Linked DNA regions of Elephas maximus indicus. The protein of the gene in region 2 binds, or shares a complex with, the protein of the main gene of each other region. Links are inferred from orthologs where the notes say so. Each region holds a gene or a part of one and is shown on either strand. Other genes may lie near its edges.

Region 1 (3,748 bases), on a different chromosome or scaffold from region 2:
CCTGACTGTCGCCTCCCTTACATTCATTCCTGCCTTGCTCAGGGCATGTGGAGACCCTGTCCCCTACTCATGTAGCACAAACTTTTACTGTGTATCCACCTGTGTAAAGCCTTGCACTGAACATTATCCAGGCTCTACAGATTTCAGGTCTACGTTTTAAGCGTTAACCTTATAGCTGTTTCCCATGGAAGCTGTTCACTGCCTACCTTCCTCCTCCTGGACCTTTGAGACCTCACACCTTCGTGCATACAGCCCTCACTCACGCCCTCTGTTTCTGCAATCCTCTACCCTCCTGTAGTGGGTGTTATGGTGTGCCAGCCAGACTTCTTCAGGACTGGGCGCTTACTCCTGGCTGCGTCCCTCTCTGGGAACTGCCTTCATCCAAGGAAGCCTTCTCACCAAAGTCAGGCCCCTGCAAAATTTTAGTATGACATTCAAAGCACACGTAGTATTATGGAAATAATAAGTTTCAATTGCTTTCTTTGTCTCCTTTGTCCTTAATTACCTTTTCTACAAATTACTTGTAAAACGAAATAAATACAAAATTAAGTTTAAAATGCCTTATTTGTGAAGCCTTCTCTGACTCTTCGTAACAAATTATGTATCATCCTTCCTACTTTATATGTACGTACTGTTACTGCATGTTATCACACTGAGGGCAAGGGACGTTTTGGACATCTTTAATTCTGCAGTATAGACTCTAACTCAGTACATAGGCATAACAGTTGTCGCTCAGTAAGTGAGCAGAACTACATATGGTTTTCCTTACTGTTTATGATTCAATAATTTCTTTCCTATTTATTCTATCCAATTATTCTTTATTATATGCTCTCTATTACTCTTTCTAGGAGCCCTGATGGCCCAATGGTTAAGCGCTCAGCTGCCAACTGAAACATCAGTGGTTCGAACCCATCAGCAGCACCACAGGAGAAAAAACCTGACAATCTACTTCTGTAAAGATTATAGCCTAGGAAACCCTATGGGGCACTTTTACTCTGTCACATGAGATTGCTGAGCTGGGATCGATTCCATGGCACCTACTGATAACAAAATGTTCTTTCTTTGTCGCACAACTAATTTGCTTTTTTCACTATCGTTTCATGCTCTATTTTCTTCCCAAGACGTTATTTGTGTGTAAAATTCCTTTGCCACAGCCAATAGTACTTAACACCTGTCCAAGTACTGAGTATAAAGGGGTATTCAAGAAACATTTGTGAATAGCTGTGACCTGGATATTAGGAAAAAAGAAAAATTCATGTTTAATTATCAGTTGTGTGATCTTGGGGGAAGTATGCCTCATACACAAAACAGAAGAGAGCTAATGTCCACCTGAAAGAGATTCCAACGAGATTTCATACTTTAAAATATGTAACGTTTAAATTTTACATAGCTTCTATCACACCAGGACTAACACAAGTTGAGAGAAATTTTCTAGACGTAATGCAACCAAGTTATATCAAATTCAAGATCAACTTGTAAATCTGGGATTGAATTTGTGAAGAAAATTGGTAGGCCTATATTCTGATTGTAACGTGCTTAACAATTCCACCTTTTAGTTCGTGTGCGAATTTTACATTTTTAGCATTGAACTTTGTGTAAAAGGGCACTGGTGGCTTTTGCCACGTTTGTGACGGAATGATGGTTACTGGACGCCTCCTTTTTACCTTTCTGTGACGTTGAGACATCGGTCTCCCTTCTCGGACTTCTATGCACAGACACTTGTTTGCTGCCGTCCTCCTTTGCTCTCTGTAGGCCCCGTCCCTGCGTCCAGATGGTTCTCGGGATGACCCCAAGGATACCTCTGGGCCGCACAGTTTTGTTCTGCTCTGGCAGCCACCATTTCAAGCTGGGCTCAGTCCTCAAGGAAGCTTTGTTAAGCACGAAGTGGGGCCAACACAGTCGCGCCGCTGGGGACCTGTGCAGCTTCTCCGTATGCTGCACAGCTCGCAAAAGAGTACAAATCATGGTCACAGGGTGCTGCTCCCCCTGGGGACGGGGCCAACTACAACCAGCAAAGCTTCACCGCCCACTGCACACACATAAGACACGGGCTGGTCCACACATCCACACCAGGATCCCGTAAGGCGTGTCCAGAAAACACGGCTGCCCCAGGAGCGTTGTTAGGATGGAGGCCTCGAGAAGAAGGCCGAGGTCGCCCTCCCTTCGGCTCTTTGTGCTTCAGCTGAAGCCGCCCTGGTTTCCTTTTACGCGGACATTCCCTTTCTCCCCGCCATGCCTTCGCACAGCAGCCTGGGACCTGTGCGGAATTCTGGGAACAGTAGTTCGAGGACATGCGCTCTCAGAACAATTGCCACGGTGTGAAGCACAACGGACTGCGTCTCCCATAATGCACGGCGGGCTACGCGCCCTGGCCCTTCCAACGCTCCCAGGCTCCCTCGCGCGAGCCGTCGCGACTGCGCACTGGGAAAAGCCGAGACGGGGGGGCCGTGCTTGGGGGAAATCTCGCACCTCGGTCGCGCGTGGTTTAAGCAAACCTGTTAATACTTTACAGAAATCAAATTAGCAATTACATACGGCATGGTCTAATTGGGGCTCTGTGTAACTTAGGAGCTGGTCATTGAGTCTTGGCGTTTCAGATTCTCTAGCACTCTCCTGCCCGCCGCAGAGGCCGTGTGTGAGAATCCTCTCTGGGGATGCTCGCGGCGTCGCAGTCCCGAGTTCCCTAAGCCCTCACAGCCGCTCCCAAACGGAGAAGAGTTCGGCTATCCCGGGGCCTACAGGATGGCGGCGTGTGCAGAAGTCGACTTGGAAGTTTCTAGAACGCTGCTGCAGGCGCACTTAGGGGCGGTGTCGGCTCCGGTCCCGCCCCCGAGTCGGCGCAGCGGCGCGGGAGTGCGGTCTCCATGGCGACCGGACGCGGCTGGGCCCCGCGGCAGCTCTTGCGCTGTCCTGGCCTCGGGCCTCCTGCGGGGGTCACTGGGCTCAGGTGACGGTCGGGGCGTGGTGGGTGAGCGCCTGGGGGCCGCGAGGGACACCCTTAATCGCCCGCGTCGGCCCGCGGTCCTCATTGATCTGTAGGAGTTCCCGTGCTTGCAGGGCGCGCGCTGCTCGCATTAAGGCGGGGAAGTCTCAAACTCGGAAACGCTGGGTATCCCATTATGTAGCTGCAAAGGGAATGCCTTTTCGCGTTCCCTTCACTCACAGCTACTAGGTTCCGTGGGACGGGCGGGGGGGAGGGAAGGGAACACGCTGGGAGTCTCTTGTCATCTTAAGTCACCTATCCGGGGAGGCGTGCACGTGCGCACGCAGGTGTAGACCTCTAGTCTGCCTTCGCACAGCTGAGACGTCCCGTAGGTCATGGTGCTCTCTGCTCTCACGTAAGCACTCTCGCTATTCTGGGGCCAGAAAATCGCCTCTTGTCTTTTTGTGACGTTACAACCCAGGGAAGTAGAATCTGCTCATAGAAGCCTTTTGGCGAGCGACACTTTAGGTTTCCTCTTGTGCCTAGGATTTGTGAACAGCTACTCACCACCCCTAAGCCTCTGGCAGGCAGGCAGGCTGCCATTCGGATCTCGAGTCTAAGTCCTCGTTTCTGAGCGCATACCGTTGGTGCTCCTTTTGGAGAGCCGCAGCAGGGGCTCTCAGACTGCTTTGCCCTGTCTTCCTCTGGAAGAGCTGGGGCTTGCGCCTGTCGTGCTCATCTCTGCTCTGTTATTCTTGGGGTTTCCTCACAGAGGGAAAGGCACCTTGGAAGGGTGAGGCAGGGCTTTGAACCAGCTCTGGTTGG
Region 2 (3,748 bases):
TTTGGTTGTACATAAATATTTCAAGGCAGTTCCTTTAGACTTTAGTGCTGACAGTTGCTGCCTTGATTTACCACGGCAAGGTAGAGAATTCTTCGGTCATTATTATAGGGATTGGGGTTGGGGGCAAAAGAGAATGCAAACTTTCAGAGGGCAAGACCTGAATTCTACTAATCTTAAAGAGAAAAATGTATCAAGGAAAACCAACTTTCCTAAATTTTAAATTTAATTTTTGGATCCTTCTGTACATCAGTTGATTGCAGATCTATATAGTACCCATACCTCTTATCTTTTCATCAATTGAAAGTCTTGTTAATTCTACTTTTAATACACAGTGAAACCTGTGAGAGCCGGAGCTTGACGGGATAACTTTGCTTTTCCTGGTCTCACAAGTTTTCTGCCATTGACAGGGTGCAGCCTTGCCACTTTTCTATTGCTTGTTTTAGTGAAAAATATTTGAGTTTTCCTTCTCTGACAGTTTTCTGCCTTACACAGGTTTCAGCTTTTGCAGGTTTTACTGTATTTCTTTAATTATGATATTTATCACCATCTCTCTTGCCATTACCCTAGTCCTACCACCAAGTCTCAACCTAACTACAAGAGTCTCCTACCTAACTGGATTCTTTACTTCCTCCTGCTCCTTCAATGTATTTTCTACACAGCAAACAGAGCGGTTTTTAAGAAAAGGAAATCAGCTCTGATGGCTTCCCTCTACACATATAATCAAATCCAAATTCCTTACTGTGGCTTACAAAACCCTACATCGGCTGCCATTCCCTGCCTCTCTGACCTCATTATCTCCTACCCCCTCCAACATCCTTAAAAACTGCAGACACACTAGGCTATAAAAACTGTTCAGATGGGTCTGTATGCAGGTCAAAGCTCAAGTGTCAACTTTCCTGAGCTGTTTTCCCTGACCAGCCATTCTAAAATGCTCCCCCCTCCACCTCCACCTCATGATCCTGATTTCTTCCTTTTAGCACTTATCACTAACTAAAACGTTTTCTACTTAGGTTACTTGGCTCACCTCTGTAGGATGCATGCTTCATAATAGCTTTTTTATAAACTGCTGTGAGTTCCAAACCCAGAAAGGCACTCGGTAATTGTAGGTGCTCAATGAATGGTGTTCACTCTCAAAAACCCTCAATTTATCTTCAAATCTTAATCAAATTAATGCAACAATATTTTGTCATATTAGTTTTCTCTGTGCTCCAAAACTCAGAGCTTTTAAGACTCATTATAGATAAACCATATTCTAGACCCAGTTTTGACACAAGTGACACTATGGTTATAAAACGGCTTTTTGTTTTTCTTAAGCATAATGTTCTACAGAAACAGGTCAACAGAAATAAAAAATTCTCAAAAAAGAAAACACTTTTGCAAAGGGCCCATCTATCATCAACTTCCTACTGTCTTTAGGTCCAGCTTCTATGTTTCCAGTTGGACACCTATTGCCATAAAGTCCCAAGACCTGGAATACATATTGCTAGGGTTAAGGACAGGGCACAGCTAGGATATTCATGTCTCTGCACTCTTGAGCTTGGGCACTTCCCTTTCTAGCACCCTTAACTGGCTTTTTTCTTCATGTCTATAATCCACCTTTGAAGTTCAGCTCACTTTTGAGCACCTCCAGATTTTCCTAGTATGTTTCAAATCGTGTTTCTTTCTCTCCTAGATGCATTAATATTGAAAGTTTTGTTCTAACGAGTACTTTGGGATTTAAAACATGCAACTTTGTGCTAATAACTACGAGGCCGACATATGGGATGCATTTACCTGCAGAGCCGGACCCTGCTTTTAATACAGGGCCAAGTACACGGCCCCACACACAAGGAATGTGTGTGAGGAAAAAGGTACGATGCTTGGATATAAATGGAAGAATTCAGGCTGCATCTCGTGAGTCCAGGTCAACCTCAGAAAGCACACCTCGTGAATTCACGGCCCTCAAAGCTCGTTCGGTCTTGAAATAGCTGCTGTGCTGACACCCTGACCCCACCACGGGATTGAGGCTTTTGAACGACAGCAAAAAAAAAAAAAAAAGGAAAGAAAGAAAAAGGAGGAGCGGCATGTTTAGCGTCGCCGCAGAAACCAGTCAGAAATGTTCGCGGGCTAGGCCCGATACTTACCGGGAACGCCGGCCAAATCTGCGTGCGAGTAACCTGCTCCCCCGGCTCCGAAAAACCCGGCCAAGCCCCCTGTGGTTTTGTTGCTGCTTCCCCCGCCGCCCTCCATGGTGTCGCAGCTCCCTTCCCGTCTGCTTTCCGCCACCCCCAAGGCCGGCGTCGTCTGCTCGGCCGCGGCCCCTCAGTAACCGCGGGGAACTCCGGCCTACCACCGGCTCCCTCACACGCTGACCTTCCGGGGGACGGCGCCCGTTAAGCACCACACTTCCGTTTTGCGACAGTGCACGCCCCGGAAGCCAGAAGCGCCTGACGGCAGCGCTCCGGTGGTGGGAAAGTGAAGGAAGGCAGACTGTAAGCGGCGCGTCCCGAGGCAGGCAGGTGGGGTTCCTGTGGACGAGGGAAGGCAGGCGGCTGGCTGGGGCCCGGCGTGGGAGGCCAGCGGAGCAGCAGCTGCAGAAGCGGGCAGTGGCGGAGAGGGAATGGTGCGGGGAGGCGCCGAGAAGGAGGCGCAGCCCGACCCTCTCGGGGTTTGTGAATGAGGCTCTGCCCGGGCGGCCCGGGGACTGTGTGCTGCGGATCCCAGCATGAGCGCGGGCCCCGGCTGGGAGCCCTGCGCCAAGCGACCCCGCTGGGGCGCCGCTGCAAGCTCTCCGCCGGCCCGCTCGGACGCCCGGAGCTTCCCCGGCAGGCAGGGGCGCGTCCTCGACCCCAGGGACGCGTCCGTGCAGTGCAGGGCCCCACCGTCCTCGCCAGGCTGCGTCCCCGGGCGGGCGGGACCGCACAGAGGCAGCACCACCTCGCTTGGTACGTGGGGAAATTAAAGTCTTGTTCCTTCGCCCCGGCCCGAACCTCTTCCTGACCTCAGTCCGAGGACCCAGGGGCTCCAGTTGCTCCTTTCTGGTCTTAAACACGCATCACTCTGAGGTCCCCTTGTTAAGCCAACAAGGCCACTAGTGGGGAAATGGGACCGTATTTTTCTTGGTAAGATTGGTAGTGTGAGAAACCCTGATGAGCAAACGTTCATAGCGCGGAAAGTGGCAGAAGACTCCACCTGTTTGCTTTCTTCTGGTTTGACTGAGAGATTGCCCTAGGGGTCAAGGAGGTCTGATTGTGTATGTGAAGCAGCGGTGTGCCTCAGCCTGTAGGTAAAAAGCTGTTGAAGCTTCATTCAGATTCTGGGACCCTTTTTTTTTTTTGAGGTGCAGAGCTGTAGGTCTTAGGTGACATTGTATTAGTTCCTGTGTACAGTACTTGATGAGAGGAACTTGACCTCTGTCTTTAAATCCTAAAATCTATCAAGACAGGAAGACAGTTACACAGGTTAGTATAATAAAGGGTAATGAGTGCTCTGATGTACAGAACACGAATCGTTATGGTAGGAGTCAGGAGGAGTACCTAACCTAGACTATGGGATCAAAGATAGTCTCCCAGAAGATGAGATGCTATGGTGAGGCCTGAAGAATCAGTAGCGGTTAGCTAGATGAAGGGAGGGAAGTCAGAAGAAGTGGGAAAGTGTTCTAGGAATTTGGCTGGTACAGAGAATGGACAGGGAAGAGTAGTGAGAGATGGAACTGTAAACGTCAGCTCATGCTGGGCCTGTGTAAGGATTTTGAACGTTATCTCTAAAG
Region 3 (3,748 bases), on a different chromosome or scaffold from region 2:
ATTCGAACTGCTGACCTTCTGGTTAGCAGCTGTATCACTTAACCACTTCACCACCAGGGTTTCCGTATTCAAGACAGGATGTCCAAAACAAAGGCAGGATGGAAAAAGTTTCCGAACATAGTCTAGCTAAATCAAATAAATGTTCCTATGGGAAATAATGGGCTATATGAAAAAAAGGCTGAAGCCATACTCTTAAGGTAAATGTCAGGCAAATGCAGGCAACAGAGAGCCAGTAACTAACAGTAATAAGATTTAAAAGTTACCATTTATTAAGGGTCAACTATGTTTTAGGTGTCCCATAACTCAAATAAAACCTATGAATTCCAAGAAAGCTAGGCTAATTCATATACAGTCCAAAATCTTTTAACTTTGCAAAAACGAGTACTATCCTCTTCATTTTACGAGTGAGGAAACCAAGGCTCAGAAAGATTAAGTAACTAGTCCAAAATCATACGGGCAGTAACTAGTAGAATCAATTTAAATGCAACATCTAGTACTCCAAAGGCCCATATTCTCTCCACTATTATCACATGGTCTAAGGGTTTTTGAGAACACATGATAAAAAGGAGTATTTCGGATATTCACTGCAGCAGCATTCACGACAGCCGAAAGGCGGAAACAACCTAAACGCCCCTCGACCTGTGAATGGACAAACAAAACGGGGCATATTCACACCACAGACTGTCACTCAGCAATAAAGACAAACGAAGCCCTGATACATGCTACAAGATGGCTGAATCCTGAAAGCATTATGCTAAGTGAAATCAGGGCTTCATTCTGGTTTGAAGCCCTGCTGAGAATTTGCATTTCCACCCGAGATAAACTGAATCAGAATCTACATTTTAACAAGATCTCCAGCTGATTCTTACGTATGATAAATTCTGAGAAACACTGCTCTACTAGTGGTTCTCACAACTGGTCCCTAACCAGCAGTATTGGCATCGCCTGGAAACTTGTTAGAAATGCAAATTCTTAGCAGTGGTTCAAAACCGAGTGAAAAAAGTCAGTCACGAAAAGATAAGTATTGTACGAAAATATGCTTGTAGTTTTGAGCTGGGATGACTTGAGGAAATGCTGTTACTATATAAAAACAGGCCGTCAGAAGATAAAGCAGCTTTGACAGCAAAGCTGCCCAGAAAACTGTACTGCTTCAGGACATCCATACTAAGAGAAAGCAAAAAGTAGGTACTAGTGAATTAGTAAATCCAAACCCATTATTCTTATAACTTTTAATCCAACAAAGGTAAATATTTTACCCTCTTGCCAACCTGTGTCATCATACACCATCCAAGAGCAGTGTCAACTTCTACAATGTGCTGAAAGCTGCAATCTGAGTACAATCCAGTGTAAGGGGGACAATGCCTCAGTGAAGGTTGTTTAAAAGAGCTGGGAGGGGCTGAAACATATATCCTGCATACCTGTTAAGGGGCAGGGGACACAAAGCAAGCAACAGGGCTACATGCTGACAAGGTTAATAATTTAAAATCCTGGACACTTTCACAACTTGAGGACACCTCAGTTCTTGCTCTTACACAACAGTGGATAAGACCAAATAACAAGAGCTGGTTTTTCACTTATGGTCCCAGAAGCCTAAAACTCAGGCAACCTGGATTTCTGACAGCAATTACATTGTTTCATAATTAACTAAGTGTCTGGTTGAGGAGCCCTGATGATGCTGTGATTAAGCACTGGGCTGCTGATGGAAAGGTAGGCCGTTGGAACCCACCAGCTGGTCTGCGAGATAAAGATGTGGCAGTCTGCCTCCATAAAGATTTACACCCTTGGAAACCCTATGGGGCAGTTCTACTCTGTCCTATAGGGTCGCTATGAGTCGGAATCGACTTCGGCAACGGTTTTGTTAGTGTCTGGTTTATTCATATTTTTATTCCTTGAGCCTAACAATGCCTGGGCACAGAGCCCTCAATCAAAAAACGTTGAATAAATGAATGAATGAATTTTTGCTCATGGCTTTTCAGGAAACACAAACTACTATCCCTTTTTCCAGGTCATTTTTGCACCCCCCCCCCCCCGAAGGGAGAATTCCAAGCCAGAAAAGGAGGCTCCAGCCTACAAGGGGTTTATCCAGACTCTCTGGGTAAAGCTTATGTTCTATTCATTTGAAAACCTTCATCCTGCGGAGACATATCACGATATGAGTAAGTCTCAAGCCAGCGGCACCGCTTCAGAGGCCTATCTCCCCTTTCTCAATGCAGAAACTGAGCGAAGCGAGACGCAGAGCCGTGTCCAAGGTCATCCGAGCGAGCCGAGCACTACTGACCCCGCACAAGGCCGACTGTGCCCGGGCTGCCAGGAGGCTCCGCGGCTCCATGCGTCCGAGCCTGGGTCTCCTGACCACTCGCCGCAAGGTGGCCGGGGCGCTGGGCTGGGCCGACAAGGCGCTCACGCGGCCCGGGAAGTACAGGGCTGAGGATCCCACTGGCCGCTCAAGCCCGCGCTGCCCACGGCTACCAAGCCTATATCGACGAGCCTGCGGCCGAGTTCGGCTTGTACCTCAGGGCGTAGAAAAGGGAAAAAGGCGGATGTGGGCAGAAGGGCAGGAGAAAGGCAAGGACAGCGGATAAGGCTCACCAAGGCTCTCGCGCATACTCCTCCATCTTGACTCCAGCAGCGCGAGCGAAGCGGGGCAAGCTGGGCGGAGCCGGGCAGGCTGGGCGGAGCCTGACCCCAGCGCCGGAAGTGATCCCGAAAGGCGGAGGGTAAAGTCCATGCGGATTGGTTTACCGTTTCCTCCCTCAGCCAATGGGAGCCGTGACTGCTGGGGACGCTGTGGGGGCGCGGCATTGGCTCCGGCACCTCGAGGCTCTCGGAGGCGCCGGAGGTAGGCAGTGTGTGCGCGGGGTTTCCTCAGTGGGGTGGTGTTCAGATTACCCGGTCACTGAGATAGCGGTACGGATTTTGGTGGCGCAGTGGGTTAACAGCTGGGCTGCTAATCGAAAGGTCGGCGGTTCGAACCGACCGGCCCCTCCGGGGGAAAAAAAGGATTTACAGCCTTGGGAACTCTGTGGGGCAGTCCTACCCTGCCCTGTAATAGGGTTAGGGTAACTGTGTGTCGGAATCAACTCAAGGGCGGTGGGTTTGCTTTTTCGTTTTTTTGAACTGTCAGTGGCCTGAGATAAAACAAACAAAAAAACCAAATCCCTTGCCATCGAGCCCATTCTGACTCATAGCGACCATATAGGACAGAATAGAAGTGCTCCATAGGATTGTCAAGGCTGTAGTTTTTACGCAGACTGCCACATCTTTCTCTTGGAGCGGCTGGTGGATTCCAGTCAGTAGCTAAGTGCTTAAGCACTGTGCGACCATGTCTCCTGGCCTGAGATTAATCTGTTGTTATTCCCCTCTAGAGTTCACCAAACTTCTTTCTCTCGCCCTTTTAGTACTTTGGCTGTCAACTGTGGATTCATGCTAGTTAATTCGGCTCCTTTGAGCTTACAGTCGACCACATTCATGTAGATGGCAGTTAAAGGCGGTCTTCATTTGGCACTTTGGTGATTGACTTTAAAATATGTATATATTTATTTTATGGAAAAGTCAGCGGGATAAATATATACAATACTGCAGGGAAGAGTGAGGTCCCCTCCAAAAGCTTGGAAATAAGACAAGCAGATGTATTAAACCCTTTAGAACTAAAGACTGTCAGTAAATGGGTCTTGTATGTAAGAAGAACGGTTCAAACTAATCTGATTTGGGGTAAGTTCAAGAAGGTCTGTTTGGAACTTGTGACTGT

Evidence for each region.
Region 1: mitochondrial import inner membrane translocase subunit Tim23 (region 2) and TIMM21 share a complex: the UniProt entries of both Homo sapiens proteins name them as parts of the TIM23 complex. The link is inferred for Elephas maximus indicus from reciprocal best matches to the Homo sapiens genes TIMM23 and TIMM21.
Region 3: mitochondrial import inner membrane translocase subunit Tim23 (region 2) and TIMM17A share a complex: the UniProt entries of both Homo sapiens proteins name them as parts of the TIM23 complex. The link is inferred for Elephas maximus indicus from reciprocal best matches to the Homo sapiens genes TIMM23 and TIMM17A.

The regions. Positions count from the first base shown.
Region 1 is NC_064829.1:81,626,123-81,629,870, reverse strand, and holds the start of TIMM21 (mitochondrial import inner membrane translocase subunit Tim21), read right to left. Parts: upstream 2,457-3,748; 5' UTR 1,966-2,456; coding exon 1,665-1,965; intron 1-1,664. Other genes in the region: FBXO15 (F-box only protein 15), read left to right, coding at 2,865-2,947. UniProt on the Homo sapiens protein: Participates in the translocation of transit peptide-containing proteins across the mitochondrial inner membrane.
Region 2 is NC_064834.1:3,702,380-3,706,127, reverse strand, and holds the start of mitochondrial import inner membrane translocase subunit Tim23, read right to left. Parts: upstream 2,362-3,748; 5' UTR 2,230-2,361; coding exon 2,124-2,229; intron 1-2,123. Other genes in the region: PARG (poly(ADP-ribose) glycohydrolase), read left to right, coding at 2,705-2,924. UniProt on the Homo sapiens protein: Essential component of the TIM23 complex, a complex that mediates the translocation of transit peptide-containing proteins across the mitochondrial inner membrane.
Region 3 is NC_064836.1:10,555,458-10,559,205, reverse strand, and holds the start of TIMM17A (mitochondrial import inner membrane translocase subunit Tim17-A), read right to left. Parts: upstream 2,659-3,748; 5' UTR 2,616-2,658; coding exon 2,590-2,615; intron 1-2,589. UniProt on the Homo sapiens protein: Essential component of the TIM23 complex, a complex that mediates the translocation of transit peptide-containing proteins across the mitochondrial inner membrane.